Linked DNA regions of Macaca fascicularis. The main gene of each other region encodes a partner of the protein of the gene in region 2 in a complex. Links are inferred from orthologs where the notes say so. Each region holds a gene or a part of one and is shown on either strand. Other genes may lie near its edges.

The links.
Region 1: the proteins of CNNM3 (region 2) and PTP4A2 are in contact, whole or in part, in a crystal structure (PDB 5K25), measured with the Homo sapiens proteins. The link is inferred for Macaca fascicularis from reciprocal best matches to the Homo sapiens genes CNNM3 and PTP4A2. Residues at the interface, in NP_060093.3 of Homo sapiens: Leu390, His391, Phe392, Val393, Phe394, Asp396, Thr397, Glu405, Ala414, Gln417, Val419, Glu424, Gly425, Asp426, Pro427, Phe428, Tyr429; in NP_001356788.1 of Homo sapiens: Met1, Asn2, Arg3, Pro4, Asp69, Gly70, Cys101, Ala103, Leu105, Gly106, Arg107, Arg134, Arg135, Gly136, Ala137, Phe138, Asn139, Lys141, Gln142.

The regions. Positions count from the first base shown.
Region 1 is NC_088375.1:203,087,936-203,104,241, reverse strand, and holds the start of PTP4A2 (protein tyrosine phosphatase type IVA 2), read right to left. Parts: upstream 7,933-16,306; 5' UTR 7,587-7,932; coding exon of another isoform or gene 7,563-7,586; intron 7,381-7,562; exon of another isoform or gene 5,233-7,380; intron 3,726-5,232; coding exon of another isoform or gene 3,620-3,725; intron 2,775-3,619; exon of another isoform or gene 2,695-2,774; intron 1,350-2,694; exon of another isoform or gene 1,284-1,349; intron 1-1,283. Other genes in the region: uncharacterized protein, read right to left, coding at 3,620-3,725, 7,563-7,586.
Region 2 is NC_088387.1:1,846,121-1,861,754, reverse strand, and holds the end of CNNM3 (metal transporter CNNM3), read right to left. Parts: intron 15,031-15,634; coding exon 14,833-15,030; intron 13,321-14,832; coding exon 13,171-13,320; intron 12,426-13,170; coding exon 12,256-12,425; intron 12,059-12,255; coding exon 11,962-12,058; intron 11,591-11,961; coding exon 11,457-11,590; intron 11,165-11,456; coding exon 11,026-11,164; intron 7,789-11,025; exon of another isoform or gene 7,689-7,788; intron 7,205-7,688; coding exon 7,140-7,204; 3' UTR 4,091-7,139; downstream 1-4,090. UniProt on the Homo sapiens protein: Probable metal transporter.

The DNA.
Region 1 (16,306 bases), on a different chromosome or scaffold from region 2:
AACCTACAGCACAGGAGTAGCATGCAAAGTAAAAACTTTCAGGCTACTGCTCACATTATTTCAAATATACTATATCTCAGAACTTAGTAGTCTATGGGTCAACTTAACTCTTTTCATTTCCCCATTTTGTCAAATGTACTGGGCATATTTAAAGGTCCTGTTCCAGCATTAACCCCCAAAGAGAGGGAGGGAAACTCTCTATGGACAAGACACAGAATAAAAACATCCCAAAATACATCTTGTCAGCATCAATTATTTTGTTTGAGCCCCAGAAATGTTTCTGCTGCTCAGGCACTCTGGTCCAAGTTTCCCCTATAACTGGGTAAGTTACACTTCACTTCCTCTCCTAAATTTGCTTTTTATAAATTACATTATAGTTCACAGACATATGTTTGTGTACTGGGTATAATACAAGATAAACAGTCAAGAATCCAAATCATTCTATTTGAAGCTGCTGGTGGCCTTTTAAAATGTACTGTCTATCCACTAATTGTCCAATAATGGCATACTTTCACAAAACACAGTAACATTACGATCTTTAAAAACCACACAGTGAAAGTAAATATTTCATACTACATATTAACGTGAAATAAAAATGGTGAAATAACTCTATAATGCCATGTCAAGGAGTTATTCTTTACTCACTAGCTTAGTTCAACATGGATTCACCTTCCTTTTCTTTCTAATTAAAGAAAGTAAAATTCAATCTTTCTCGTCCTCTTCCTCCAAATGTTTACTGAGACGAGGGACAATATGTCACCTCTGAATTATACCAAAATGCAGCACAGCCAATCTTCGAACAAGCATTTGCAGAGACGTGTGTACATCATACAAACACTATCCAGGATCAAGCTCCTAGAAGAATCAACGTGGGTGTAAAACGCTTGATTGGTATTAAGTTTTCATATTAACACCATATATTTTAAAGATACAAAGTAAGCATGAGAAGAATGGAATAGGATTAAGGGTTCTGAAGAAAGGTAAAACTTTTATAATAGAAAACTGGTAAAAACAGTGAAGAACCATGGTAGTGTGACATGAGAAAGGCTTAGTCTTTGGTTAGATAACTCTGGAGAAGCCTTGACCAGGCTGAGAATTTCAGACCAATTTAAATGCAATAAAAGCTCTTAGGAATTTAAAAGCAGAATAGTGGTAAAAAAAGCAACTCTTTGCTCACTGAGACAGAGAGCAAATATTGCCGTATTTATGGGCCTCCTCTGATCTACTGAGCAAGCAGCTCCATAATCACCAAAAAGCTTAACAAAAATATTCTTTCAACTTACTAAATCGTAGTCAACAGATAATGAGTTTAACTAAATTCTACCCGTTGATGACCTCCAAATGAAGACCCCCATCTAAAAAAAAAAAATGAGAATACAGTCTGTGACTTATATTTAAAGTACTTTTCACCCAGAAAGACCAAATTTGCATAACTTAAACTAATCCACCAAAAGGAAACTTGTTTGTAACCACACATGTGGAATGAAAATAATGTCAGTAGAATCTATTGTTTCTCCATCATATCCTTCTCTAGTTGCTGACAAATCCTGCTGGTGACTCATATCCTTCTGCACTAACCAGTCTCTCCGTTCCCTAATGAAAGGCTTTTCACCAATAATGGAAAATACAATACATAACTATTTGTTCTGCTACTAAAAACAAATACAAATATGTGTACATAAATCCAATTTACAAATACTGTGGTGATACAACCTAGTGAATGTTTCCTGTAAAACAGTGGGGAAAATAAAAAGATGGTCAAATTTAAACAAAAACTAAAGGACAACTGGAAGAAAACAGACCTGATCGTGAATCTGAATTCCTGTCAAACAATACATTTAGTTAACAGCCAACATATCTGACCACTGCAGAAATAAAAATATAAAGTAATTTATCTGATCTGCTAAAACAAAAATATCCTGTGTATATTTTATGCCAAAAGAATTAAAGTTTTGAGAAGAATAAAATTTCAAATAAAAAATACTATGAGAGAAATTAAATACACCACTTCTCTAAAGGTAAAGACTGTTCTAATGTTCAAAATATTTTTTCAAACCAGGCTCAACTAGCAAAAAAAGGGTCACGAAAAAGCCTAATCTTAAAATTCTCAACAATTTAAAAAGCCAACATTGTGTAATGTAAATTTATATTCAAATGATGAAATTTAGTGTCTAGGCCACTTAAAATGAAGTGGATGCTGTGTTAATGTAACCTGTGGGCAAGAAAATCAGTACAGGCAAACAAAAACCATCTATATTCAAGTCACATAAAAATATCCGTATAGTGGCTCACGCCTGTAATCCCAGTACTTTGGGAGGCCGAGACAGGCAGATCACAAGGTCAGGAGATCGAGACCTTCCTGGCTAACATGGTGAAACCCTGTCTCTACTAAAAATACAAAAAAACTAGCCGGGCATAGTGGCGGGCGCCTATAGTCCCAGCTACTCGGGAGGCTGAGGCAGGAGAATGGCGTGAACCTGGGAGGCGGAGCTTGCAGTGAGCCGAAATCGCGCCACCTCACTCCAGCCTGGGCAACTGAGCAAGACTCCGTTTCAAAAAAAAAGTAAAAAATATATATATATATATCCGTATAATCTGTCGACTCCTCACAGTCATTTTTCTGGGATAGATTTCGGAGTCCTGTAAATCTACACTGACTGAACAAACAGTGCAGGAAAGGAGTCATTCTCTCACCTGAGTCCTGGTAACTCCACAATGGGGAATTGTGGAAAGCAGACAGACAGCATTGCTGTGCAGCTTCTTTCATGGAGGTGCTAGGGTAGTGACAGTTTCTGGTTGAGCCTAGACCTCTACCACTCCAAAGAGCAAAAAGATTTTCACACAATAGGTACCTCATCTCTACACTAAACAACCTAAAAGGCTTCAAGTGCTGAGACAGTGGCCAGGGAGTCAAGGGAGCCCATAGAATAGAATTCAGCCAATAAAGGATAATGAGATAAAGCTAACTGACACCTCTATACGTAGTAATAGTCCAAAAGATGAAAATGGCGAAAAGATTTTTTCTTTTTTTTTGAGACAGGGTCTCCCTCTGTCTCCCAGGCTAGACTACAGTGGTGCAATCTCGGCTCACTTCAGCCTTGACCTCCCAGGCTCCAGTGATCCTTTCAACTTTAGCCTCCCAAGTAGCTGGAACTACAGGCTCATGCCACTATGCCTGGCTAGTTTTTGTATTTTTTGTAGAGATGGTGTCTCTATGTCGCCCAGGCTGGTCTCGAACTCCTGGCCTCAAGTGATCCTCCTGTGTCTGCCTCCCAAAATGAGCCACTGTGCCTAGCCAAGACTTTTCTAATATTTCACAGATTAAGAGACTCAAATCACCATCTCCCAAAGTAATTATAACTGGTGGCATCCATTGTTCAACAGAGATTTAAGAACTTTAAGCCCCTAAAAGGAAAAAAAAAAAATTATTCGCTGCTCTCTATTGATAATCTTTAACCTAGATTCTAAAACCTGGGATTTAATAATCAAATCCCGGTACTTTGGGAGGCCAAGGCAAGCAGCTCGCGCCTGAGCTCAGGGGTTCAAGACCAGCCTGGGTAACATAGCAAAACTGTCTCTACTAAAAATACAAAAATTAGCGAGGCATGGTGGCACACACCTATAATCCCAGCTGAAGCAGGACAATCGCTTGAACCTAGGAGGTGAAGGCTGCAGTGAGCTGAGGTCGCACCACTGCACTCCAGCCGGGGCAACAGAGTAAGACTCTGAAAAAAAAAAACAACAACAATCAATCTATAAATAAATGTCCTTATCTGTAAAGCTAACAGAATACTACTTACAGGATTATTGAATTTTAAATGAGACAATACATGATTTGGCATAAGAAGGGAATGTGGAAACCTAAACCCTAAAAGTGTAATACTGAACTCTACCAGTACCCCAAGATCTCTACCATCACCCTATTCAATAAACATAACTAAGTCCACCATGTTAAAACTAGATTCCATCTTCTATTCAACAAATACAGCTGATGGACTAGCACCCAAATAAATTAACCAAACTTAGTTTCAGAAAAACTTAAGCTTCATTCTTCCAAGACCAAGAGCAACAGCTAAAAACGTATGCATCTGCTCCCTCTGCATCTTGTTTGTAAATACATTAGTTTTCTAGGCTTCACTGGTTACCAACCCCCACATTACAACAAAAAGGAAAAAGTATATTCAAATCCTGTAAAATAAATCCCTACTAAATTTCAACTTTGTGTCTGAAAATTGTAAAGTGTTCCTTAATTACTGCATAAGGAAATACTACCTTTATTGGACAAAATGAATAAAGTTAATTCTTAAGAAAGATAAATCCAATTTACCTTGTTTGAAATTTTTTTTCAAGTCAACTATATATGGGGCTCTCATACTATGTTTTTTCAAAGCTACACACAAAAGTATTCAAACATTTACTCTTCCTAGTGCTACAAAGTTCAATGATGTTGTAAATGGTTTCTGCCTATAAATTTGGTTTGTTCAAATTAAATATTACTTGACTGACTCACAGAGGGAGTGGCCTGACTTTTGCTGTTCTGAGTCAGAAAATACCCCGTTCAGCAGTTCGAAACTATTTCTCATCTATAAAGGTGTTCGAAAACGCCAGCCTTTTCCAGCTACAAAATCTGTTGCCTTAGTAGAAAGATCTTAGTGGCAATAATACTTCAAATCTGTAGTTCAATTTATAATTAACAAAATGCTTTCACATGTATATTCTCACTTCTTCTGATTTAAGTGTCCCACACAGCTCAACAGAGAAACTTTCATACAGTGGTTAAGCTCTAGTTCACTCTTGGCCCCAATAAATATATTCTCTTTTTTCCAAAAAATAAAACATAAAAGGCTGTTGCATTTCTTTAATCAGACTTCCCTCACGCAGACATATCCCAGATGCCTCATAAAAACTGTCTCAAAGCACACACCCAGAGCCCGAAGAGAGTTTCAAGGCAGCATCTCCTCCCACATAAAAGCCTAGCTTAGGCCCCAAAGAGCCTCCAGTCAGCATCTCCTAAATGATCCCCTTGCCTCCAGCCTTCTCTATTAGTTTCAACAGCTCTCCTAAGTACAAGCTGCTAGGTCATCATGTGGATGAGAAACCTCAATGTAAGATGAGCTATTGAAACAGCAGTATGATGTATTGGAAAAATCAACAGCTTTGGAGTCAAAGACCTGGATTTTTAATCCAGCACTAATTCTTATTATCTGTGTGACCTGGGACAAGTTACTTAACCTTTTAAGTTTCTGTATCTCTTCTTCTCACCACTGTAAATCCATGGGAGCTCATCGCTGTATCCCTAGTGCCGGGCAAACAGAAGTGGTTCAAAATAAGCCAAATGGATGCAAATGAAGAGACCACCTTTCTTGTAGTTGTGAGAATTAAATGAATATAAAAAGCACCTGTAGCACAGTAGGCAATTAACACTAATTAATTCCTTCCCTCACTGAATAGTAACAATACTATTTACTATTTCTTTCTTATTTTTTTGAGAGAGGGTCTCACTGGCTCACTACAGCCTTGACTTCCTGAAATCACAAGTTCCTCTCGCCTCAGCCTCCAGGATAGCTGGAACTACAGGCACATACTACCATGCCTAACTTTTGTATTTTCTGTAGAAATGGAGTCACCACGTTGCCCAGGCTGGTCTTGAACTCCTGGGCTCAATCGATCCTCCTGCCTCAGCCTCCCAAAGTGCTAGGATTACAGGCGTGAGCCACCGCGCCCAGCCGAAAAATATAAATTCTAACTTTTAATTACACATCAATGATTTTGCCTGTAATTCTATTATGTTCACGATCAAAAGGACCACCCTCGCGCCTGTTAATCCCAGCACTTTGGGAGGCCAAGGCAGGTGAATCAGTGGCGGTCAGGAGTTCGAGACCAGCCTGGCCAACAAGGTGAAACCCCGTCTCTACTAAAACTATGAAAATTAGCTGGGTGTGGTGGCGCACACTTGTATTCTCAGCTACTTGGGAGGCTGAGGCGGGAGATTACTTGAACCTGGGAAGCCTGGGCAACAGAGCAAAACTCCATCTCAAAAAAAAAACAACAACAACAAAAGGACCATACTACTTTTTGCTTATACTGAAAGACTACCAACTTCTAAGAGACAATTATTTTTAAGATAACATCATTTTTAATATTATATCAAAGTGTAAAATCCCTATCGAGGTACTACTCTTCATCAAGAATCCCTACTTTTACAACTCAAGAATGGGAAAAGTCCATGACAATAATTAGTCCATTCATTATGAAACTTAAAAATGCCAAGATCAGAATACCAGCAAACAACTTCTCACCATCTTCACCAATACAATGGTGTGCTGGCAAGTGATTCTGAAGCCCTGATAATGTGTCATTCTGCATCCTTAATTTCCTTTTGCACATTCGGCAAGGCATAACTTCACTCACTTCCCTCTGAAACTACTCTGTTACAGAGCATGACAGCAAGTACCATATTCCAACTCAGCAGTGGTTGTAGTTTGGTGACTCCAGACAAACATTTGCTGAATGCCTACAGTGACACTAGAACTGCGGGTCACTGCTAATTTCTTGACAAATTCCAGGAAATAATAAACTAGCCTATAGTTTAATTTACCTAACAATAAAATACTCTTCACCTGAAAAACTAGCAGTACTTTACAAAAGTTTATGCTCCTGAACACTCTACAGGCCAGAGTGTAGGCTCTTGGGCAACAGACAAACTTCTTTTCGTTAGCTCTCAGGGACCCAGACTAGGATAGGATGGCATCCTTGACAAATTTGAAAATTTACTTTGAAGTTATGAAACGTGGGAGAAAAAAAACGTATAGAACAACAACAAAAAAAACACATCACATCTTTTCTGGGGGGGAAAAAAATTAAAATCCCAGAGCCAGAAGATCATAGTGCCACTAGAAGAGACTTATACCCCCTTTCCTCATACTTGAACCTGAGCACCCAGGGACAAGATGCTCCCGGAAAGAACTCCCTAACCCAACACAGCACGGTTCACTATCGCCACACACAAAGACGAAGAGGAAGGGCCTCCAGGATGCCTGCTCACACACTGGACACACGCCGGCACACCCTGCCACACTCCCGCCTCTGCCACGCACCTTCTCACCGACACACACCATGTTCTCCCCCTACACTCGCTCTCTACCACACTCTCAACTCTCTCCTCCCCCACTTCTCATTCATGTACCCCCACCCCTCATGCCCACACGCTCCCCGCACACTCATACCCTCCCCCGCCTGCACCCACACTCCCCCAACATCGACACTGTCCCCCGACCCGCTCCCACTCCCCCCACCTCCTCGCACACTCAGCCCTGTCCCCCACTCACACGCCCTCCCTTCACCAACTCACACTCTCCCCCACGCTCGCACAGCTCTCCCCCTTCCACACACACGAGCCCGCCCCTCGCTCACCCACCCTCGCTCCCCCGCCCCGGCCCAGCCCGGCCCTCCTTCCGGGGACGTGTCTCCGGCCTGTACTAATGGCTGCAGCGCCTCCCGCCCTCCCCTTCCCCGAGGCCCCCGGCGCCGGCGCGGGGGCCGCCCGGGAGGGGCGCACTCACGCTGGCGAGCTGGGGACTGGGCATTGAAGTCCGGCGGCGGCGGGAGCGAGGAGGCGCCTCTCTCCTCAGTCACCTCGGCGGCGGCGGCGGCGGCGGTAGCGGTGGCGGCGGCGGCGACGACTCCCCCCCAGCCTCGGCGCGCGACACCCGGCCCGGCCCGGCGGCGGCGGCGGCGGCGCGTCTCCACGAGTCCGTCTTGCTGCTGCTGCTGCGGTCGCCGCTGCGTCTCCTGCTGCCGCCGCTGCCCCCGCTGCCGCCGCTGCCCTGTGGCGTCGCCTCGCGCCGTGCCCGGCCGCCGCTGCCGCTCCAGCCGCTCCCGGACGGACGACGGTTACAGCCCGGCCGATCGCGCCGCCGCCACCACCGCTGCGCGCGCAGCCGGAACCAGCTCCCGCCGCCGCCGCCGCCCCTCAGGGGTCGCTGCGGGGCGCGGCTCAATGGGCAGCTGACCCGCCCTCCGCGTTCGCTGACTGGCTGGCCGGCCGGCTCGCGGGCGGTTGGGCCCGCCCACCTGCCCCGCGGGGCTCTGACCCACTGCCCTGGGCACCTCCCCCGCTCCTCCTCCTGGTGGTTCGTTCTGCTCCGCACTCCCGGCTACGGAAGGCGAGTCCATGTGACCGGGGAGGGAAAAGCAGAACGTGGCCTGGGGAGTCGTTCGCCCACGCTGCGCCCCGCCCATCCGCACCTGGGCTGGGTCGAGGGCCTGCAGCCGAGGTGTGACCCGCAAGGTCGAAGGGTTCTTTCTCGCTCCTAGGCCGTCAGGCCTGGGGTCAGATCCTGATGGGACAGGGTGGCCACCAAGTCCTGTGCTTGGGGATTTCCAACTCAGAAGTGGGAACCCGGGCAGCTCAGTTCTTGGCTGCCCTTCCTGAGGCCCCAAATAAATGGCGTGTGCATCTTCGTGGAGGATATTAATACGCCACCCCCGGCTCTGCCCACAAGACACACACACATCCTAAGAACTGTCCCTGACAAGCCAAAATTCAGACTTTCAGGATGTAGGATCTTGGGCAAGTGATTCCCTCTCTCCAAGTATTATCAACTATAAAGTGAAAATAATAATCAGCAACCTCATGGGCGCTTTCACGATCGATAATAACGTATGAAAACGCTTGAGAAAGGCCGGGCGCGGTGGCTCATGCCTGTAATCCCAGCACTTTGGGAGGCCGAGGCGGGCGGATCACTAGGTCAGGAGTTCGAGACAAGCCTGGCCAACATAGTGGAACCCTATCTCTACCAAAAATACAAAATTAGCCGGGCATAGTGGTGCGCGCCTGTAATCCCAGCTACTCGGGAGGTTGAGGCAGGAGAATCGCTTGAACCCAGGAGGTGGAGGTTGCAGTGAGCAAAGGTCACGCCACTGCACTCCAACCTGGGCGACAGAGCCGGACTCCGTCTCAAAAAAAAAAAAAGGAAAACAAAACGCTTGAGAAAGAGGAGACCCTGAATTTCAAGGTTTCCGACTTAATGTCACCTTTAACGACGCAGATTATCATAGAGATTCTCAAGTGGAAAGGTTTTTGCCTCTTGCATTTGGAAGCTAGCCAGAAATTCTTTGCCAGATCATGCGTCCTGAGTTTTGGTTTGGAAAATGTGGTCACTAGCGAGCTGGGAGGCTGGTTTGGGCCACGGCCAGATGACAGGCAAAGTGCGGCATTGGGGGCTGGCTTGGGAGGAAGGGAGATGTCTCCCCCTGAGAATTGCGGGTTGGGGAGGGTCTGTTCTTTCTGTCCACTCCTGGGAAGTCTTGCCTGCCCAGAACTGGCTCCTATCTAGGAAGAAATGAAGATGCCCCCGTGGGTGTTTCTCCCCTACCTCACCACCACATCCATGCTCATCCAGCCCTGCGGGGAGAAGCAGTAATCTGTCATCATTAGACCTTCCCCACAAGGTAGACTTGGGGCATTGCTACTGACCAGAAGGCTTCCATTAGAGCTTAGCAGTAAAATGAAAGGTCTTATGACTCAGCCGCATCAAGCCACAGAGCAGAGTCCAGGATGTTCACCACCAGCAGGTGGCCCAGGAGGGGGTATTCTAGGGCAAAGCTGGTTAGCAGGGCTGTGTGGGAGTTGAGAGAGGCCTTGAGGAGCAAGAGGGGCTGCAGATCAGTAGCAAGGCCCCTGGGTGAGGAGCACAGACTGGGCTCACTTGCATTCTGTCTGCCTCCAGCAAGCAGTATTTTCTACTTCCTGGAAACACAGACTGATTTGAAACAAAGAGCTACCTCCTCTGCAAAACTTTTGCTGCGTCTATGAGTTATTGATTCTTCCGATAAAGTTGCAAAACACCTTGTGCAATCCTCTACCATAGCACTTAACATAATACTGTAATTGCCTGTTTTCAGACTCTCCCCCGCTTAGATGGATCTATTTGGGGCAGTCTAGCAGATTGTTTGCTTGTTTGTTTTCATCTAGTAGATTGTTTGACCAAGTAAATGACACTCCCCTCCACCTAGCTCTCCTTCTGGCCCTGAAATAAAATAGTGTAATAACAACATTAACAACATAAGGATAAGAATAATGGCCCCAATAATAGTTACGTTTACCCCCTTTTTTTTTTTTTTTGAGACAGAATCTCACTCTGTCACCCAGGCTGGAGTGCAGTAGTGCGATCTCGGCTCACTGCAAGCTCCACCTCCTGGGTTTACACCATTCTCCTGCCTCAGCCTCCCGAGTGGCTGGGACTACAGGCGCCCGCCACCACACCCGGCTAATTTTTTGTATTTTTAGTAGAGACGGGGTTTTACCGTGTTAGCCAGGATGGTCTCGATCTCCTGACCTCGTGATCAGTCTGCTCAGCCACCAAAAGTGCTGGGATTACAGGCGTGAGCCACTGCACCCAGCCTTTCTTTTTTTTTTTTTTTTAAGACAGGGTCTCACTTTGTCACCCAGGAGGGAATGCAATAGTGCAAACATGGCTCACTGCAGCCTCAACCTCCTAGGCTCAAGCAATCCTCCCACCTCAGCCTCCCAAGTAGGTGGGACCATGGGCCTATGCCACCATGCCCAGCTAATTATTTTTTTATTTTTGTAGAGATGGAGGTCTTGCCATGTTGCCTAGAACTCCTGGGTTCAAGCAATATTCCCACCTTGGCCTCCCAAAGTGTTGGGATTATAGGCATGAACCACTACACCCAGCCATTGTTACCTTTTATTAAGCATCTACTCTTTTCCAAGTCCTGACTGAAATGTTTTCAAATGTTATCAAGGCCCAACACAGTGGCTCATGCCTGTAATCCCAACACTTTGGGAGGCCGAGGCAGGTGGATCACCTGAGGTCAGGAGTTTGAGACCAGCCTGGCCAACATGGTAAAACCCCATCTCTACTAAAAATATAAAAATTAGCCCAGGGTAGTGGTAGGCGTCTATAATCCCAGGTACTCAGGAGGCTAAGGCAGGAGAATCACTTGAACCCAGAAGGCGGAGGTTGCAGTGAGGTGAGATCGCGCCACTTCACTCTAGCCTGGGCAACAAGAGCAAAACTCTATCTCAAAATAAATAAATAATAAAATAAAATCTATTATCAAGTTTATGATTCAAAATTACCCTATTAGGAAGGTACTATTACCCCCATTAAAAAAGAGAATCGGTCAGGCGTGGTGGCTCACACCTGTAATCCCAGCACTTTGGGAGGCCAAGGCAGGCGGATCACGAGGTCAGGAGTTTGAGACCAGCCTGGCCAACATAGTGAAAACCCATCTCTACTAAAAATACAAAAATTAGCCGGAAATGGTGGCACCCGCCTGTAGTCCCAGCTACGTGGGAGGTTGAGGCAGGAGAATCACTTGAACTTGGGAGGCAGAGGTTGTGGTGAACCGAGACACTGCATTCCAGCCTGGGCAACAGAGCCAGACTCTGTCTCAGAAAAAGAAGGCCAGCTGCAGTGGCTCATGCTTGTATCCCAGCACTTTGGGAGGCCAAGGCAGGTGGATCACGAGGTCAGGAGTTCGAGAACAGCCTGACCAACATGGTGAAACCTCGTTTCCACTAAAAATACAAAAATTAGCCAGGCGTGGTGGTGTGCACCTGTAAACGCAGCTACTTAGGAGGCTGAGGCAAGAGAATCACTTGAACCTGGGAGGCGGAGATTGCAGTGAGCCGAGCTGAGATCATGCCACTGCACTCCAGCCTGGGCAACAGAGTGAGACGCTGTCAAAAAAAAAAAAAAAGAAAGAAAGAAAGAAAGAAAGAAAGAAAGAAAGAAAGAAAGAAAGAAAGAAAGAAAGAAAGAAAGAAAGAAAGAAAGAAAGAAAGAAAGAAAGAAAGAAAGAAAGAAAGAAAAAAGGAACCAGAGGCTCAGAGAGACGAAATGACAGAAACAGGATTCAGCCCAGGTTTGTTTGCCTCTGAAGCCCAAATAATCATGATATTCGTTTCTGACTTCAGTCAATAACTGGTGTCCTCAGGATAAGCTGGAACCCCTTGTGAAATATCTGCCTCTGAGACAGAAAGGTCCTAAACCATGACACCACTGCCACATTCTCTTACCCCCTCTCCCCCCGACAGCAGAGAGATGCTCTCACCCCTGACATCCAAATGGCTTCCCACAGAGGCTGTAACGTGGTCTTACTCCCTCCACACCTCAAACAGATCAGAAACTGGGCTGCAGGTGCCTTATTACAGCAGGAACCACCCCTAGCAGTGAGTTTCACGCATAAGTGCTCTGAGTTTATCCAGTGCTTTTGCTGAAGCATTCCAAGTGCCATTCACTGATTAATCTTCCCAGTGCCCCTGTGGGGGCAAGCTGGCAGTACTCTTGGCTGATTTTACAGAGCGTTAGCTCCTTGAGAGCAGGAGCTATGTAGGCCCACTACACACAGGGGTTAGAAAAACAAGTAATGGTCTGCCGGGCACAGTGGCTTATGCCTGTAATCCCAGCACTTTGGGAGGCCAAGGCAGGCGGATCACCTGAGGCCAGGAGTTCAAGACCAGCTTGGCCAACATGGCGAAACCCCATCTCTGCTAAAAGTACAAAAAAAAATTCGCTGGGTGTGGTGGTGAACCCCTGTAATCCCAGCTACTCGGGAGGCTGAGTCGGAAGAATCGCTTGAACCGGGGAGTCAGAGGTTGCAGTGAGCTGAGATTGCACCATTGCACTCCAGCCTGGGTGACAGGCAAGACTCTGTCTCAAAAAAGAAAAGAAAAAAAGTCATGATCGTAATGGCCGGGCGCGGTGGCTCAAGCCTGTAATCCCAGCACTTTGGGAGGCTGAGACGGGCGGATCACGAGGTCAGGAGATCGAGACCATCCTTGCTAACCCGGTGAAACCCCGTCTCTACTAAAAAATACAAAAAAACTAGCCGGGCGAGGTGGCGGGTGCCTGTAGTCCCAGCTGCTTGGGAGGCTGAGGCAGGAGAATGGCGTGAACCCGGGAGGCGGAGCTTGCAGTGAGCGAGATCCGGCCACTGCACTGCAGCCTGGGCAACAGAGCGAGACTCCGTCTCAAAAAAAAAAAAAAAAAAAAAAAAAGTCATGATCCTGTGGCAAAGAAACTGAAGCCCTCGGAAAAGTGGTTTAGACAGAGGTTGGGAACAGGTGACTGGTTCCCACCCTGGGATTTTACACTAATTCATCTGGCATCTTTGCATTGCCATTTTGTTGTTGTGTACGTAGACTTGGGGAGTTATTTCATCTGCCTGAGTCTCTATTTCCCCATCTGTAAAATGGAAAAGGTAAACCTCAAAAAAAAAAGGTTTTTTAAGCCAGGCATGGTAGCTCACTCCTGTAATCCCAGCACTTTGAGAGGCGGAGGCGGGCGGATCACAAGTTTGGGAGTTCGAGACCAGCCTGGCCTATATGGTGAAACCCCGTCTCTACTAAAAATACAAAATTAGCTGGGCGTGGTGGCGCATGCCTGTAATCTCAGCTACTCGGGAGGCTGAGGGAGGCGAATTGCTTGAATCTGGGAGACAGAGGTTGCAGTGAGCCAAGTCGTGCCACTGCACTCCAGCCTGGGTGACAGACCGAGACTCCATCTCAAAAAAAAAAAAAAAAAGGTTTTTTGAGGACTAAAGGACTTAGTGTGTATAACTCATGTATTAAACACATGTTAAGTATTCAATAAATGTTAGCTAGTATTATTTAGGTTGGTACTTGGCACCATGCAATGAATAAATGAAAAGAGCCTTGATACCACCAGTTCTGCAGTTGATTTCAAAATTACGGTTTCTGCAACTTACCATTAGCTTTGTGACCTTGAACAGATGTTGTAACTTCACAAATGAACCTTTCTCTTCATCTATGAAATAGGATGATAGCTCTAAAATGAAGACCTTGAAAATACTTTGCTTTGTAAACTGTCAAGCACTATGCAGACATTAACTATGGTTTTAGAAAGAGCACAGGCCTTGCAATATGACTGTACAGGAATCCCTGCTCTGGCGCTTAAACTTCTCACCTCTAAAGTTTTCCTCATCTGTAATATGGGCATGGTGATCACATCTGTCTTGAAGTGTTGTGACAAATTAAGTGATTAAAGACAACATATTTAAAGTAAGCTGGCACAGTGGGAGGTGGTCCATAAATGTTACTTCCCTACCCCCTAACAAATAAGTCTTGCCTTTTAAAGACCTGAAACAAAGGAAGCAGCAGGATGTGATGGGAAATGTATGGAACCAATCGCTGAGTTGATTCCTGGCTCTGCCATTGTGTGGCCTTGAGGTTTCACAGCCTGTCTGAACCTTCAGGTTCCTTCCCTCTAACACTAAATAAAGTACGCCTCCATTGCAAAGTTCGCTCAATAAATAGGAACTACTAACAAACGCACAGACAGGCCTATGAAGCACTCTTATGGAAAAGACCCAGTTGAAAAGACCCAGTTGCAAGTAACAACCAAAATTTCCGAGCCCGAAACCAGATGGAGTCATGAGCTGCGAAATAAGCGACCCAGGCTCCACAAAGTTCAGACGAGCATGGGAGGTTTCAAGCCCCATGTCTGGACGCTGCCAGTGCACCGGCCAAGAGAAGGCAAGAGACGACTCAACCCTCCCAGAGTGATAACCCGGTAGGAGGAGGCAGGGGGAGGAAGGAATGTACTATTCGCCGCCCCACCCATCCCCTGCCTCTAATCTCTCTTCCGGAATTTTACAGCCCTCTTTTGCAGGGGCGGGGCGGAGGGGGCAGGGCGTCGGTTCCAGCTGTTTGCAGGAATCCCCCGCCCCTGGCCTATCCGCTTGTGCAGGAAGCCCTGGTGTCGTACCCTGAGACGCTCCAGTTTGCACTCTATGGCCTCCTCAGGCACTAGAGCTTCCCCTGCGTCCGCCTTTGGGGGAGGGGAGGGAGTGAAGCTGTGAATTCCGGGAGAAGTCAAGGCTCGCTCAGGGCGTAGGTCCGCGGGCGGAGGGGTTCGCTGTCCCGGTGCCGGCGGGAGCTGGAAAGCTTCGGCTGGGGCCTGAGTGGACGGGAAGGCGGCTGCCTCCGCGGGATCCTTCCCGGGCCGATCCACAGTCAGAATCCCCAGCTCCACCGCCGTCAAGTGGGACTGGATTTCGGCCAGAGAAGAAAACGACTTCGGGAACTGGCAACGAGGGAGAGGGAAAAGTTGAGAAACGTGGCTCAGCCTCCTTAGTTCATCTTTCACATGGGGCAGCGGAGGCCGGCGGGGACGGGGAGCTCCTCGGGGCCTCGCTGAGCATCAGCGGGGGAACTGCAGGCCGGTAGGTCATTCCCTATCCGTAGGGGATTGACTGGTTCCAGGACCCCTGCGGATCCCAAAATCTGCGAATAATCAAGTCCCTGTTATAAAGTATAAAATGGCCCGGGCGCTGTGGTTCACGCCTGTAATCCCAGCACTTTGGGGGGCCGAGGCGGGAGGATCACTTGAAGTCAGGAGTTCGAGACCAGCCTGGCCAAGTTGATGAAACTCACGTGTCTACAAAAAAAAATACAAAAATTAGCCGGGCATGGTGGCGGGCACCTGTAATCCCAGGTACTCGGGAGGCTGAGGCACTGGAATCTTAGCTTGAACCCGGGAGGCAGAGGTTGCAGTGAGCCAAGATCGTGCCACTGCACTCCAGCCTGGACGATAGAGCTAGACTCAGTCTAAAAAATAAAATAAAAAATATAATATGGTATAGTATTTGCGTATAACCTACACACATCCTCTCTCTCGTATACTTTAAATCGTCTGTAGATTATACCTAATACAGTGTAAATGTTATGTAGTTGTTACACTGTATTGTTTACGGAATGATGACAAGAAAAAAGTACATGTTTAGTGCAGATGCTATTTTTTTTTTTCCTGAATATTTTTGATCCCTGGTTGGTTGAATTCAGAAATATGGAGGGCCTACTACACTTGAACCTCTGGCGCTGCCCTGCCATCTGGGTTCACTTCACAGCATTCTCTAATACCCCGTGACTCAGCTTCCCCATTTGGCAGTTGGAAAATAGAAAAGGAGTTATTAATAACTGAAGCTAGAGCTGTTGGAAGTGAAGCAGCAAGTCTACCTACACAATAAAGGGATTAGGAGGTAATGATGTTCATAGCTGACATTGAGCACTTACTATGTGTCAGACACTGTTTTTGTTTTTGTTTTGTTTTGTTTTGTTTTTTTGAGACAGAGTTTCGCTCTTATTGCCCAGGCTGAAGTGCAATGGCGCGATCTCAGCTCACCGCAACTGCTGCCTCCCGGGTTCAAGCGATTCTCCTGCCTCAGCCTCCCGAGTGTCTGGGATTACAGGCATGCGCCACCAGGCCCAGCTAATTTTGTATTTTTAGGAGAGACGGGGTTTCTCCATGTTGGT
Region 2 (15,634 bases):
CTCAGTGTCCACTTGTCCCAGGTTAGGGGCTTGCCTTGCTCTCCCCAGGGCCAGTCTCTGCGGGTGGGGACTCAGCCTGGGGCCGGCAGATGCCATCCAGGATGTACAAGGGGCAGCCCAGGCAGGCCGTGCAGGGTCCGGGCCTGTCTGCAGCTGGTGGATGCCCATGGGCAAGGCTTTCTCCGGGGATCCCATTCCTGTCAGTAGCAACCCTGGCAGTGTCTGGAGCAGCTCCAGACAACATTGGTCGTAGGGACTCTGGAGGTGGGTTCTGGCCGTCTGAGGTCTCAACAGGTTTGAGGCCCCACAGCGACAGAAGTCCAGGACCCACTAGGTTGCCTCAGAAGTCCTAAGACTGATGAGCTGGAGCACGTGTTTGAGAAGCCTTGTACCCACGGTGCACTGGCCCTGGTCAGGCCGGCCTGGCACACTGTCGCCTGCAGGCGGCGCTCATGGGGAAGTGCCTGGGCACCGGGGGTTGCTTGTGGCCCACCCAACTCTTGGGGCGGTGGCCCGTAACCCGTTTGCCTGAGGCTCTTATGTCCCTGGTACTGGAGCTTGAGCTCTTGCCTGGAACCCTGCAGCTGCACCCACCCTGCTTGATCCCACTTGAGAGGCCAGGACACCGAGGGACTCTGAACCCAGCCCACAGGGAAGCAGGGGGAGGTGAAGCCCTCCCCCCGCCCCGCGCCGGCCCTTCCCATCCCTTCCCTGCTCTCTGGTGGTCTAAGGACCCAAGCTCCCTAGACTTCTTCCTTTTCCGCTGTCTGTACGTTTCAGATTACACCAGTGTAGACCTGTACTGCTGGCCGGGCTGGGCCCCTGAACGCCAGAAAGTGAATCTTAGCAAGCTCTGCCCTAAACTGAGAACCATGTGCTGAGGGAAGGGCTGAAAGGTGAAGGCTCAGCCTCCCTCACATGGGTCCTGGGTTACATTAGGTGCCGGGCTGACAGGCATTTGGCCATGCTGCTTTTTAAGTCTGCCTTTGGTGGCCTTCTCAGGCCCACAACAAGGCTGTTGTTACGAAGTGGAAAAGCTGACCAGTGCTCCACGCTCGGGGCACATACCTTTCCATGAGCAGCTCCTGCCCTGTGGCGACAGAGCCAGCGTGCACCAGACGCTGGTGCCACGGCGAAGCAGGCGTTCAAGACCACGGAGAAGACAAATCCTCATCTAGAAATGAGGACACCTCAGTGACAAACACCCCTTTTTATACCGATCAGTATCTTCTGTTCATTAAAACGGGCTATCCATTACAGCCTAGTTGTCTTTCCTGGGCTGAGAGGAGCCCATGCTTCAATCACCAGGGACTGTCTGCTAGGGCCCAGGCCTGTTAGCCATGCCGGCCGGCAGCAAGCGGCAGGAGTGCAGAGTGGGCAGGATGCGGGGTCCTAGCACTAGGCTCTTGTGCTTAATGCATCTCTGCTCGCTGACGACAAGGTCAGAGAGCAGTGGTTCTCCACCTCAGCTGCTTGTCAGAATCACCAGGAAGGTTTAAAAAGTCCTGATGTCCACACCCTAAGTCAGAAGCCCTGAGGGGAGGATCCAGGTATTCTCATGCAGAGGCCATGCTTGTCTATGTGGGAAATCCTACAAATCTATAGAAAGCAGACACCTAGGGAGTCCAGCAAATCTCAGGTGCAAGATAAACACATAAAACCTGTTTCTACCTCCTGGAAATGAACATATAGACACAAAAGTTAAAAATATGTACTGTTAACAATTGCTTAAAAAGTGAAATACTTAGGTTTAAATCTAACAAAATAGGCAAGGACTTGTATGCTGAAAATTACAAAACATGATGAAATCAAAGATTTAAATAGACATGCCATGTTCACGGATTGTTAGACACAATAGAGTAAAGATATCAATTCTCCTCAGATTTACAGGTTGAATGCAGTTCCTATCAAAATCCTCAAAGATGTTTTGTAGATGTAGACAAGGTTATTCTAAAATCCGTATAAAAATTTGTAGCAAAAATATTTTGAAAAAGAATAAAGTGAGAAAAGGCATCTGTCCACCTGATTTCAAGATCTACTATATAGCTATGTGAACCAAGAGTGCAATGCTGGCAGAGGGACAGACACACACATTGACAGAGCCAAGAACATCATGGGAACAGGACCACACAAATATGCCCAGCTGACTTTAAGGTGCAAAAGTAATTCAATGGAGGAAGGACAATCTTTCAACAAACGGTGCTGGAGCAGCTGGAAAACGATACGCTAAAAAAAAGAACTTTAGCCTAAGTCTTACACATTATACAAAAACTAACATGGCTCACATACATACTTAAATGTAAAACTATAAAACTTTTAGGGAAAAACAGACAACCTTTGGGATCTAAGACTACGTAGGGTTCTTTTTTTTTTTTTTTTGAGACGGAGTCTCGCTCTGCCGCCCAGGCTGGAGTGCAGTGGCCGGATCTCAGCTCACTGCAAGCTCCGCCTCCCAGGTTCACGCCATTCTCCTGCCTCAGCCTCCGAGTAGCTGGGACTACAGGCACCCGCCACCTCGCCCGGCTAGTTTTTTTGTATTTTTAGTAGACACGGGGTTTCACCGTGTTAGCCAGGATGGTCTCGATCTCCTGACCTCGTGATCCGCCCGTCTCGGCCTCCCAAAGCGCTGGGATTACAGGCGTGAGCCACCGCGCCCGGCCTTACGTAGAGTTCTTAAATGCAACTAAAAGCGACAGTCTATAAAGGAAAAATCAGTAAAGGGGACTTTATCAAAACTGAAAACTTTTGCTCTGTATAAAACCCCAAGAGGGTGAAAAGATGGCTGGGCACAGTGGCCCACATCTGTAATTGTAGTAATTTGGGAGGCTGAGGCAGGCAGATCACTTGAGCTCATGAGTTTGAGACCAGGTGTGGGCAACATGGTACCCCATCTCTATAAAAAATTAGCTGGGCGTGGCCGGGCGCGGTGGCTCAAGCCTGTAATCCCAGCACTTTGGGAGGCTGAGACGGGCGGATCACGAGGTCAGGAGATCGAGACCATCCTGGCTAACACGGTGAAACCCCGTCTCTACTAAAAAATACAAAAAAAAACTAGCCGGGCGAGGTGGCGGGCGCCTGTAGTCCCAGCTACTCGGGAGGCTGAGGCAGGAGAATGGCGTAAACTCGGGCGGCGGAGCTTGCAGTGAGCTGAGATCCGGCCACTGCACTCCAGCTTGGGCGACAGAGCGAGACTCCGTCTCAAAAAAAAAAAAAAAAATTAGCTGGGCGTAGGCCGGGCATGGTGGCTCACGCCTGTAATCTCAACACTTTGGTAGGCTGAGGCAGGCGGATCATCTGAGGTCAGGAGTTTTGAGACCAGCCTGACCAACATGGAGAAACCTCGTCTCTACTGAAAATACAAAATTAGCTGGGTGTGGTGGTGCATGCCTGTAATCCCAGCTACTCAGGAGGCTAAGGCAGGAGAATCGCTTGAACCCGAGAGGCGGAGGTTGCAGTGAGCCGAGATCGTGCCACTGAACTCCAGCCTGGGCAACAAGAGCAAAACTCCATCGCAAAAAATAAATAAATAAATAAAAATAAATTTAGCTGGTCGTGGTGATAGTCCCATCTACTTGGGGAGCTAAAGCGGGAGAACTGCCTGAGTCCAGGAGTCAAGTACACAGCGAGCCAAGACTGTGGCACTGCACTCCACCCTGGGTGACAAAGTGAGACTCTGTCTCAGAAAAAAAAAGGGGGGGTAGGGATGAAAAAGATAAGCTACAGACCAATGCAAACCAAAAATCCCATAAAGCAATCTCAAAACAACTCTCAGAACTCAACAGAAAAAACAATCCAATCAGAAAAGGGTGAAAGACAGGGATATTCCACTGCAGGGGAACACGGGAGGTGTCCATCACTGGGAAACGCAAATGAAAAACCACCGTGAGGCATCACGACACACCTGTCGGAACGGCTGAAGTAAAAACACGACACCACCAAGTGCTGCGGAGGATTCGGGGAAACTGACTGTCCTAGGTTGCTGGTGAGGACGTAAGAGTTTGATGGTTTAAAAAACGAAACATGCAACAACCCTATGGCCAAGCATTTACACTCCTGGAAAACTAATCTTTACACAGAAACCTGTACATCAACAGTCGTAGCAGCTTTATTTGGAATAGCCCCAAACTGGAAACATCCCAGGTGTCCTTCACGGGACCAATGTGTACACCACGCAATACCACTCAGCAACAAAAAGGAGCAAACTGTGAACACACACATGCAACGCTGGATGATCTCCGAGGACACCGAGTGAAAAAGACAATCCCACCAGGCGCGGCGGCTCACGCCTGTAATCCCAGCACTCTGGGAGGCTGAGGCAGGAGGATCACGAGGTCAGGAGATCGAGACCATCCTGGCTAACACGGTGAAACCCCGTCTCTACTAAAAATACAAAAAACTAGCCGGGCGAGGTGGCGGCACCTGTAGTCCCAGCTGCTCGGGAGGCTGAGGCAGGAGTATGGCGGGAACCCGGGAGGCGGAGCTTGCAGTGAGCTGAGATCGCGCCACTGCACTCCAGCCTGGGCGACAGAGCCAGACTCTGTCTCAAAAAAAAAAAAAAGACAATCCCAAGTGCTTACACACTATGCTCCCATTTATACAACATTCTTGACATGACAAAATAAGAGACGGAACGATTAGTGGTTGCCAGGAGTTAGGGGTGGCGGGAAGGGAGATCCTTGTGGGGATGGGATTTCTTTATCGTGATTGCAGTGGTAGTTACACAGATGTACATATGACACATGATTTGGGACTGTCCACCCACACTGCACCAGTGTCAAAGTTTTGCTTGGAATACTGCATTACAATCACGTAAGATGTAACCACTGAGGGAAACCAGATGAAGGCTGCATGAGGCCCTTATCTTTACAACTTCCTATATTCTGAAATTAGTTCAAAATATAAAGTTAGGAAAAAAGAAAGCAACAGCTCTAAGTGCAGCATGACATCCTGGATTGGCTGCTACAGCAGAAAAAGGACATTGGGGAAAAATGGCAAAATCCAAATAAACTCTAATAGTACGATTGCACCAATGTTAATTTTTTAGTTTTGTTAAATGTACCAAGGTTATATGTAAGATGTTAACATTAAGGGAACCTCGGTGAAAGGTGTATGAACCTCTTCTGTGAATCTGGGCATGGTGGCTCACGCCTATAACCTCAACACTTTGGGAGGCCGAGGCAGGAGGATGGCTTGAGCCTAGGAGTTCGAGACTAGCCCAGGCAACATAATGAGACCCTAGCTCTACAAAAGATTAAGAGAATTAGCTGGGTGTGGTGGTGCATACCTGCAGTCCCAGCTACTCAGGAGGTTGAGGTGGCAGGATGGCCTGAACCAGGGAGGTCGAGGCTGCAGCAAGCTGTAATCACACCACTGCACTCCAGTCTGGGTGACAGAGCAAGATCTTGTCTCAAAAAATAAAAATAAAAAATAAAATAAATAAAAAATTGCAAACTCTGATGCCCAGACTCTGATTAAATCACAAGCTTTGGTGGCAGGTCCAGGTATTTTTAATACCAGGTGATTCTGATGTGCAGCCAAGGTTAAGAATCACTGTTCTTAGCTCACGCCTGTAATCCCAGCACTTTAGGAGGCCAAGGCGGGCAGATCACCTGAGGTCAGTTCGAGATCAGCCTGGCCAACATGGTGAAACCCTGTCTCTACTAAAAATACAAAACTTAGCCGGGTGTGGTGGTGGACACCTGTAATCCCAGCTACTCAGGGGGCTGAAACAGGAGAATGGCTTGAACCTGGGAGGTGGAGGTTGCAGTGGGCCAAGATCGCACCACTGCACTCCAGCCTGGGCAAGAGAGTGAGACTCCGTCTCAAACAAACAAAAAAATACTGTTCTGGAGACAGGATTTTAATGCATCTGTTTCCAAACCGGGCTTGCTCTCACAGTTGACTCCTTGAGGACAATTTCTAAGCAAGCATACCACTGTTCTTTTGACCTTCAGTCCCATTTTTAAGGGTCCAAATTCCTTTGAGAAAAGTTCCAGAAATCCTCCTCCCTCCCTACCCAATCTATGATCCTGTGTCCTTGTGATGCCCATTTCCACACAGCTGAAGAACTACGGAAGGAAAATGTAGTAAATTAGAAGAAAAAGACAAATGCCTTCCAGTTCCCACTTCTCTAAAACCCCATAGCTAGGAACAGAAACAAACGAAAAGACTTGAAATGTTCTAGAGATGTAATAAAAACTGATTTTTTTTTTTAAAGAGGATCCACCTGGTTCCTAAAGCCTCCCTCGCTGCTCTCTGCACATCACACCACACAGCACCTGCGGGGAGGCCGTGGAGAGGTGTGGAGCAGGTGCAACAGGCAGCTACGCTCCCGGGGCCACACAGCGGAGAGAGGATTCGATGCAGCATGACGATCCCTTCCTCCCAGGCGTGACCTCTTCTCAGAACACAGGAACTGACAACGCTGTGAGTGGCAACTCAGCAGGTGGGCAGAGAAGCAGAAAGGAGCCCTCAGCACCACTAGGCCAGCTCTCAGGGTCAGAAGAGCAGCCTCCAGGGACGGTGCAGGGCTACAGGGACAGCCTTCGGGCAGTGGAGCTTCTGGTTTGGCACATGGGAAAGGCTGGGGCACATGCTCTGAAACATGACACCGTTAGGGAAGCCAGAAAGGACGCCATGGACAAGGCCATCGATTTGAACCCCCAGCCAAAATGGGTGCACTTGGCCTGCTCGAAAAGTGCTGCCAGCAGCGATAGGTTGGCAAATTAAAAGCAAACGAGTACAGGTCACGGCCACATAAAGGCAGTAACTGCACTCACAAGGTGGCTCGGCCCGAAGAGGTCTGAATCTGAATACGCCACACGGTCCCAGCCTCGGGGGAGAAGGGGAAGGCTGGGCCCTGGGGACTAGAGATGATGGCATTCCTTTCGTTCCTTCCTGACGCGGGCCTGGAGGGCTGTGCCCTGGTGACTCCTGTCTCCTAAAGGAGGGCAGGACCGGCTGAAGGATCCAGGCACTGATGTCTAGTTCTGAGGACACCCAGGACCCGCATCTACAAGGGCCATCTAAAACGTGGCCTGGAGGGGATGGGGGCAGGCGGGCACGAAGCTTCTGCTCAGCTCACTCCAGCTCCCCACGTGCTCATCTGTTCCCCAGATCTGGGGCTGCCTAGTGAGCAGTTAGACACCTGGGTTCCGCCCGGGGCTGCCTTCCACCGGGATGCCGGGCCTGCTGTGGCTGGACCCTACAGAAGACAAGGGAAGGAAAATTCACATCAAAGCTGGTAAAGGGACCTGCCAAAACCAAGTGCCAAATCCTCTGTGGACAGGAAGGGGCAGCTAAGACGGGGGCTTCAGGAGGCCTTGGGAGGTATCAGAGCAGAGCCGGGAGCGATCGGTTAGCAGATGGTCAGCCAACAGATGCCTTCCCTGGGACATGGGGGAAGCTGGGGCTGTGGATTTCTGGCCCCAGGGGGTCCCAGGTCATTATACTGAACAAGAGGCACCTTCCCGGGACAATACAGCACCCCGTGCTGGAAGGAAGCACCATTTTCCACAGTGGAAGAGTCTCGTGACCCCTCCTGTCTTCCAGAAGAATGGAAGGGAGCGCCCACCCCGCACCCCTGGAGAAAAAAGGCCCCCAGCCTGGGGAGCCGAGGGCTCTGCTCCTCCCACAGCTGAAGGGCCAGGAGAGGAAAGTGAAGGGGCAGGGAGAGGGAAGATATTTACCTTGGGTGTGCTCTGAAAACAAAAAACGCGCACTAGTCCACAGTCATTTATCAACTGCAGTTTCCAACTGTGCCAAAGAGGGAAAGGTCTACTGGGAAGGCTAAAGAGAGCAGAGAGAGAAAGAAGAGGAGAAGCTATTGAGCAGAAATGGCTGTGCCTCTTGGCTCCGGGCAGCACCATGGAGAGGGCTGATGCCCCAAGCAGGGGAAGCCAAGGGGGAGCCGGCAGCCGCAGTGCTGGCGCTGCACTGCCCCACAGCCTGGCTCAGGACGGCCGGCTGAGGAAGCCGGGAGCACAGCATGGAGGGCTGCACAGCATGGGGGCCGCCTTTCCCTCGGCCATACAGTTCCATGGAGAACTGACGCGGAGGACCTACCCTCGGCGACAACAGTTCCACGGAGAACTGACGCGGAGGACCTACCCTCGACGATACAGTTCCACGGAGAACTGATGCGGAGGACCTACCCAGGGTTTGAAATGGTAGGCCAGGGGTCAGACAACTCTTTCTGTAAAAGGCCGATATTTCTAGTTTTTGTAGGTTATATGGTCTCTGTCACAGCTACTCAGCTCCACTGCTGTAACTCAAAGGCAGCCACAGCAATCCACAAACCGATGTGTGGGTTCTCACAAAACTTCATTCTCAAAAATAGGCTGCTGGCCAGATGTGACCCTTGCACCATTTGCCAAACCCTGCTGTAGGCAATTTAAAATTATTGTGTCTTCCAAGTCTCAAAAAAGGCACTTCTCTGTTGGGCGTCTAGTGCCAAGGTCCCCAGAAACTGGTTCTCATCTGCACGATTTAAGCAGCACCCCACCGAAATCTCCAGGTGTGCAGCGGCCCTACGCTCCTCCGGACAGTGAAGTGCCAAGCTCACAGGACAAAACGCAGGACAAGCCGAGTTCAGGCAAGAAACAGAAAGAGAAGGTCAGCCTCACTGGAGCAACTGTCAGGTTGTACTTGGGTGAAAATAACCAACATTGTGTCTAGAGAATAATAATCCATTACCAAGAGGAAATGCCCCACAAAGCCACTATAAACTCTTCTCTTACAGGACGGCCCCGTGAAGATTTTTTAAAAATCTCTGGGTATATATGATGCAATGACGGGAAAAGCACTATTCTGGGATTAGGTCTGTATCTTCGATACAACATGTGCAGTCTGGGTGGCAGTGAGCCAGAAAGGCTCACGTGGGAAAACCAAAACCAAAAGGCTCACATTGTGAAAAGCACACCGCCCTGGCCTCTGAGACTCCAGTGTGATGGGACAGTATGAACTTCAGTAGAAGGGGCACCCCATACAATAAGAAACCATCACCATGGGTCAAGCTTCAGCAACCCTAGAAGGTGGGGCACTAGCTGCTCATCCAGCTCCTTCGGAGGCTGAGGCAGGAGGATCACCTGAGTCCCCAGTATGAGGCCAGCCTGGGCAACATGGCAAGATCTTATCTCTGAACAGAAGGTGCGGCACCATCCTTAGAGGGATCTCTTTAGAAAGAGATGCAGCCCATCCTCAGATCCAAGACTGAAGCAGCACGGCCTCCCCTGCTGCCTTTTTGCCAGCACCTGGATCTGGAGCCCCCAGGGGCTAAGGCATCCACGTGGCCCAGGGTGGGATTTCCCTCCCCTGCACGTCACCTCACAATTCAGAAAGGACTATTAGAAAAACATGTTTGTGCTCTCAAGTGTGGGTCTGAGTAGCCAGAGCGGCTCCATGGGAGGCCTACAGGAAGCAGGTCAGAGTGCCTGGGCCTTCTCTCTGGCTCTCCTTCCTGCCCTGTAGAACGGGCAGAAGAGCTAGCGCCCCTCCGGCCACAGGGAGGTTAGCAGAGTCAGACATGGAAGCTCCTAGCGCAGTGCCCTGGCGGGGGAAGCGTTGGTAAGAGCTTATCTTCCTCACGGTGGGGCAGGTGGGGGTGGGAGGAAGCAAGCCCGTAGCTCCCTCCACAGCCTCTCCGGAAGCCCCACCGGCTCTTCCAGGAACCTCACGTTCAGGCAGATCTGACCCCAGCGTTAGGAACGCAATCAGAATTAAAGTATCTTCAGGCCGGGCGCGGTGGCTCAAGCCTGTAATCCCAGCACTTTGGGAGGCCGAGACGGGCGGATCACGAGGTCAGGAGATCGAGACCATCCTGGCGAACACGGTGAAACCCCATCTCTACTAAAAAAATACAAAAAACTAGCCGGGCGAGGCGGCGGGCGCCTGTAGTCCTAGCTACTCGGGAGGCTGAGGCAGGAGAATGGTGTAAACCCGGGGGGCGGAGCTTGCAGTGAGCTGAGATCCGGCCACTGCACTCCAGCCTGGGCGACAGAGCCAGACTCCGTCTCAAAAAAAAAAATAAATAAATAAAGTATCTTCTCGAAAAACAAGAACAAGAAACCCTTCACCACTCCTACCCACAGCCTACACTTCAGACTCTTTCACCTCCCTCCTTGCAGTGGGGGGATGGGGTTTCACATCCCACAACCTCTAGTTCCATTTGCAAAATTTCTTCCAACACAATCTTCCCGCTCGCAGTGGAGCCCTGGATGGGCCACGCTTAAATATTAGTATGAACTGGCCAAACTCCTCACAAATGTCCTTCTAGTGTCTAGGATGGTGTCTGCCAGCCACACACCCTCTAAGCCAGGGCCACTGCTGACTCCAAGTGACCTAAGCTTAATCTTAAATGGCCAAAAGAGTGTCTGAACTAAAACTTATTCCCACTTCCCAACAATTCTCTGATTAAGTCAATCCATTCTAAGAGATCCTTGAGAGAAAATATTGACTTACTATACTCTACTTTAAATACCAGTTAGTCTATAGTTTGGCGTCATCCATGCTATTAAAAATAGCAAGAAGTTCAAGTTGAATAATGAAGAATTAAAAAAAAAAAAAAAGCAAGAAGGGGGTTGGGCACAGTGGCTCATGCCTATAATCCCAGCACTTTGGGAAGCTGAGGCAGGTGGATCATCTGAGGTCACGAGTTCAAGACCAGCCTGGCCAACATGGTGAAACCCCATCTCTACTAAAAATACAAAAATTGGCCAGGCATGGTGGCTCACGCCTGTAATCCCAGCTACTCAGGAGTCTGAGACAGGAGAATTGCTTGAACCCAGGAGCCAGAGGTTGCAGTGAGCCGAGATCACACCGTCGTACTCCAGCCTGGGCAACAGAGCAACAGAGTAAGACTCCATCTCAAAAAAAAAAAAAAAAGAAAAACAAGAAGGGAAAAGGATGCGGAGAAAAGAGAGAAAAAAGACAGAGGGCAGGGTGGGGCGGCGAAAGTGCAAGTCTGTGTGTGTGAGCTCACGGCCCTTGGGTCCAGACACCGCGCACAGTGTGCCACTCGGCGCTCACCTGCCGCTGTGGTGGTCTTCTCACCAAGGAGCCTGGTCTGGCTGCCTGGCATAACCTGCAGGTCGGTGTTCTCAGGGGACTGTGGCAGGTTCTGAGCTCGGGTAGCCAGGAGTGCGTTGAGGTACTGCAGCCGCGTAACCTGGAGGATGACAGTGTTACTGGCAGACCCCACTGGTGAAGCGAGACGCAGAAGGTAGGCAAGAAAGGTCACGCCATGCCAGAAGAGGGCAGAGGCACAAGTTTAAGCGAGTTAAGGGAAGAGCAACTGAGTCAAGTGTTTTTAAGATCTCGCAGGGAAACTGGGTGCAAAGGTCTGTGTCCCTCAGGATGAGCGGAAGGCCCTGCTCCGGGCCGTCTCAGACCAGCTGATCTAGCCCCCAGTGACACAAAGTCGGCTAAAGTCAGCACGCACGAGCAGCCCAGGCAGTCACCTTGATGAGCTGCAGGTCGGAGAGCGCCCTCACGGTGTAGTCGGGACAATACGCAGATGAACGCGTGCCGTCACCTGGGTCGGGCTGCAGGTCATGGCGGATGGGCTGGAGCGAGGACACCGGGGACTGGTGAACTATCGAAGGAACAATCAGTGATGGCAGAAGCCAGTGCTGGCAGCTGGGAGCCCCCTCCCCTGGAGGGGACAACTGCACAGCTTCGAAGAGCCACCCCACCAATCGCCCTGGAGAGGCGATGTGCCTGGGAAGCAGGGAGAGGAGAATGAGCACAGGCAGGAGAGGGTTTGCAGGGGTGGAGCGAGCCGCAAAGTCGAGCGAGGAAGAATGCTGCCCTCCCGCCCGGAAGCCCAGGGGCCACACCACCTCGTGGGGCGGTGGGCTCAGGTGGAAGGAAGGCGAGGAGGGGCACTGAGGGCCCAAGCGACAATGGGAGACAGGCTCTGCAGCCTCAACCCTGACCCTCAGCACCAGCAGGGCCACGGCTTACCTGAGGATGGCACGGTTAGCGCCGACACTCCATAGTACGTGAAGGCCCCATTCTCGAACTTCAGACCCTCCTTCCCGATCTCCACTTCAACCCTGCCCTGGGAGGAGTGGCAAGGAGAGAAACAGGTGCGGCCAGATCACCTTTCCCGTCAGAAGACAGCGGAAGGAGAAACCCACCACCTCAACTGTTCGGGGCGGGAGGGTGCGTATCTGCACGCCCCTGCTCCCCTCTTCTCCTAGACCCTGCCCTGGCCTGAGGAGGCAGGAGGGGCTCCAGGCCTGGACGCACAGCTACCTGCAGGATGAGAATGAAGTAATCCACCGGCTGGCTGCGCTGGTAGAGGTAGTGGTGCGCGGCCAGGCGGTTGCTCTCGTCAAACCTCACTTCCTGGTTGACGCTGGGATGCTTCAGCAGGTGCAGCAGGACCTTCTCCGAGACGCGCAGTGGGCTGAACACATCCACTTCTGCCCGGAGGGAAAAGGGACAGTGTCCACTGGGGCCTAGTGGCCGGTGGAACCACACCCAACGCTGCAGGCAACTTAAAAGTTATTCTGCCCCGCAGGGCTCTCCTGGGTGGCCTGTCAGCAGCTGCCCCCACACCTCAACACAAGAGAATTGGGCAGGGGCCAGGTGCGGTGGCTCACGCCTGCAATCCCAGCACTTCGGGAGGCTGAGGCAGGTGGATCACCTGCGGTCAGAAGTTCGAGACCAGCCTGACCAACATGGCAAAATCCAGCCTCTACTAAAAATACAAAAATGAGCCGGGCGTGGTGATGCACGCCTGTAAGCCCAGCTACCTGGGAGGCTGAGGCAGGAGAATCGCTTGAACCCGGGAGGCGGAGGTTGCGGTGAGCCAAGATCGTGCCACTGCACTGCAGCCTGGCTGACAGAGCGAGACCCTGTCTTTTTTAAAAAAAAAAAAAAAAAAGAACTGGGCAGGGCACCCCACACCCGCGCAGCTGAGAGCTGAGGCCCCTGGCTGTGGCGCACCAGGTGTGGCGCTGGCCTGGCCCAGCTGTTGGTTGTCTGGCAGAGAGGAGCTGTCTCTCCCATGACCCAGGATGCTGGCAGGGCTGCAGAGAACACACAAGTCCTCAAGACGCGCCGCTTGCTAGGAGCGGGGAGCAGAGTCAGTGTCGGCCCTGGGCGGCCTCCTGACCCACAGGACGGTGAAGAGAGCAGGGGGCGCGGACCACCCTCCCGCCTCACCTCGGGACAGGAAGCGCTGGGTGGCCAAGAGCAGCTGAGGCGAGATTTTTACTTTATATTCATCATCAGACCCCTTGAACAAGGAGAACTCCTCCTTCCGCTTGAGAGGGGCCATCAGAGAAGCAGGCTTCCTCCTCACCACAGTGTCTCCTAAGATGGAAGAAGAGGGCGCGCTCAGGCATCAGCCACCTGTCAGTCAACACCACCACACCAAGGGACTGCATTGCCTGCTCCTTCCTACTGAGGCCAGGGGGTCCTCGACGGAGCAGCATCAGAGCCCCAGGGACATGTCTTCAGCACCACTCCCTCCACGGGGCCTGCTCCCACCCCAACCACACAGAGCGAGGGGTGGCTCCCTGCCTTGGAGCTGGCTGAAGAGAACGCTGATATGATAACAAAGCAGCTCTTATAAAACAACAGGCATCCCTGATAGGTCACTGGACGTGGACTCAATTTTATTTTAATTTAGGCCAGATGTAGTGATTCACACCTGTAACCCCAGCACTTCAGGAGGCCGAGGCGGGAGGATCACTTAAGGCCAGAAGTTCACCACCAGCCTGGCAACAGGGAGACCGTGTCGTTACAAAAAATAAAATAATTAGACAGGTGTGGTGGCATGCGCCTGCAGTCCCAACTGCTCAGGAGGCTGCGGTGGGAGGAAAGCTCGAGCCTGGGAAGTTGAGGCTGCAGTGAGCCATGACTGCACCACTGCACTCCAGCCTAGATGACAGAGCAAGACCATCTCAAAAAAAAAAAAAAATTAAAAATTAAAAAATAGTAACAGGCCTCTCTGGCCACTGAGAAACTTCTCACTAGAAAGCATGTATTCAAGGATGACCAGTGCAAAAGGGCCGCAATTAACCTGGAGACCCCAGGCCTGTGGCAGTCTCAGGAATGGAACCAGAAATGCTATGTTTGAAAATTGACACGAGTAAAGCAGTATTTCTGGAAGCATGCGGGACAGGGGGCCCGGCCATGAAGCGCAGGCTCTGTGCAGCTCTGCAGACCTCAGCCACCAACCTAACAGGCAGACACTTTTACCACGAAATCAAGGGCCCGGGATCAGCTGCTTTGGGAAGACTTATTTCCACCCCCTCCCAGTGTCTCAGCCTGGAGTACAGTGGCATGATCTCGACTCACTGCAACCTCTGCCTCCTGGGTTCAAGCGATTCTTCTGCCTCAGCCTCCTGAGTATCTGGGACTACAGGCATACGCCACCACGCCCAGCTAATGTTTGTATTTTTAGTAGAGACAGAGTTTCACCATATTGGCCAGGCTGGTCTTGAACTCCCAACCTCGTGATCTGCCCGCCTCGGCCTCCCAAAGAGCTGGGATTACAGGCGTGAGCCACTGCGTCCAGCCGGGAAGACTTTCTTCATGGCAAAGAATGGGTTCTTTCAGAGGACATTTCTGTAATGTACAAAAGAACCTGCAAAAACAAAAGCACCTCGGGAGACAGAAGGCTGGGAAAGGCCCATGAAGGGCAGAGCTCTCTCAGTAATGGAGGAATCTAACAGGACTGCTGCTAACGGAGCCCCAGGCGAGCCCTCCTGCAAGGCGGCTCCCTGCCAGCGCCCAGGCAGGGCTGAGAAGGGGCCTGGCTGTGGATCTTGCTGGGTTTCAGCAGCACAGAGGCCCACTGGCCTCGGACGCAACATACACCTGGGGAAGTGCGCGGGCCCAGCGGAGACGTAACTGCCAAGAGTCTGGACTCACGGTAGTCTTCAGACTCGTCCAGGATCTCGGACCTGATGATCTCCTCGATCACGTCCTCCAGGGTGACCAGGCCCAGGACCTCGTAGAAGGGGTCGCCCTCACCCTCGTTGTTCACCTTCTGCACGATGGCCAGGTGGGACTTCCCTGTGGGCGGAGGACACTCATGGAACAGCTTGCTGGGCCCCCGCATTTTGATTCATCTCCCTCGGGGCCCACCAAAAGGACGTGGCTAATGTTCATGTTCCTACAGCGGGTCAGGCACAGAGCCCGACTCTTTTCTAGGTTTTTACTTAAGACACCCAGCATGACTATGAGGACTGGCCTTATTTTCACACGGGTTGAAAATGAAGCCCTGGGCTCATGCTTGCTCATCTGCACAGGCCCCCCAGGCAGAGGTGGCCGAGCTGGGATCCAGCTCCAGGTCTGCGCACCTCCATGCCATGGATGCAGTTCAGACAAGCATCCAGTCGAGAACACATGCGCCTCACACAGCAGCCAGCCTGCATATGCAGGCTAACAAGGGCATGACTCCGGAAACGCAGGCTCTCCTGCGGCAGTCCACACGGGGCGGCTGAGTGAGGCCACCCAGCCTGACTCTCCTCGGGAGGTTTTCCTAATTCTTTTTTTTTTTTTTTTTTTTTTTACAGTAAATATATATGCTGTCCATCCTATGTAAATGTGAACTCCTTCTTGTCCTTATGATAGAAATGAAAAAGAGATAGAAAGATAGATAGACTGTGTGTATGTG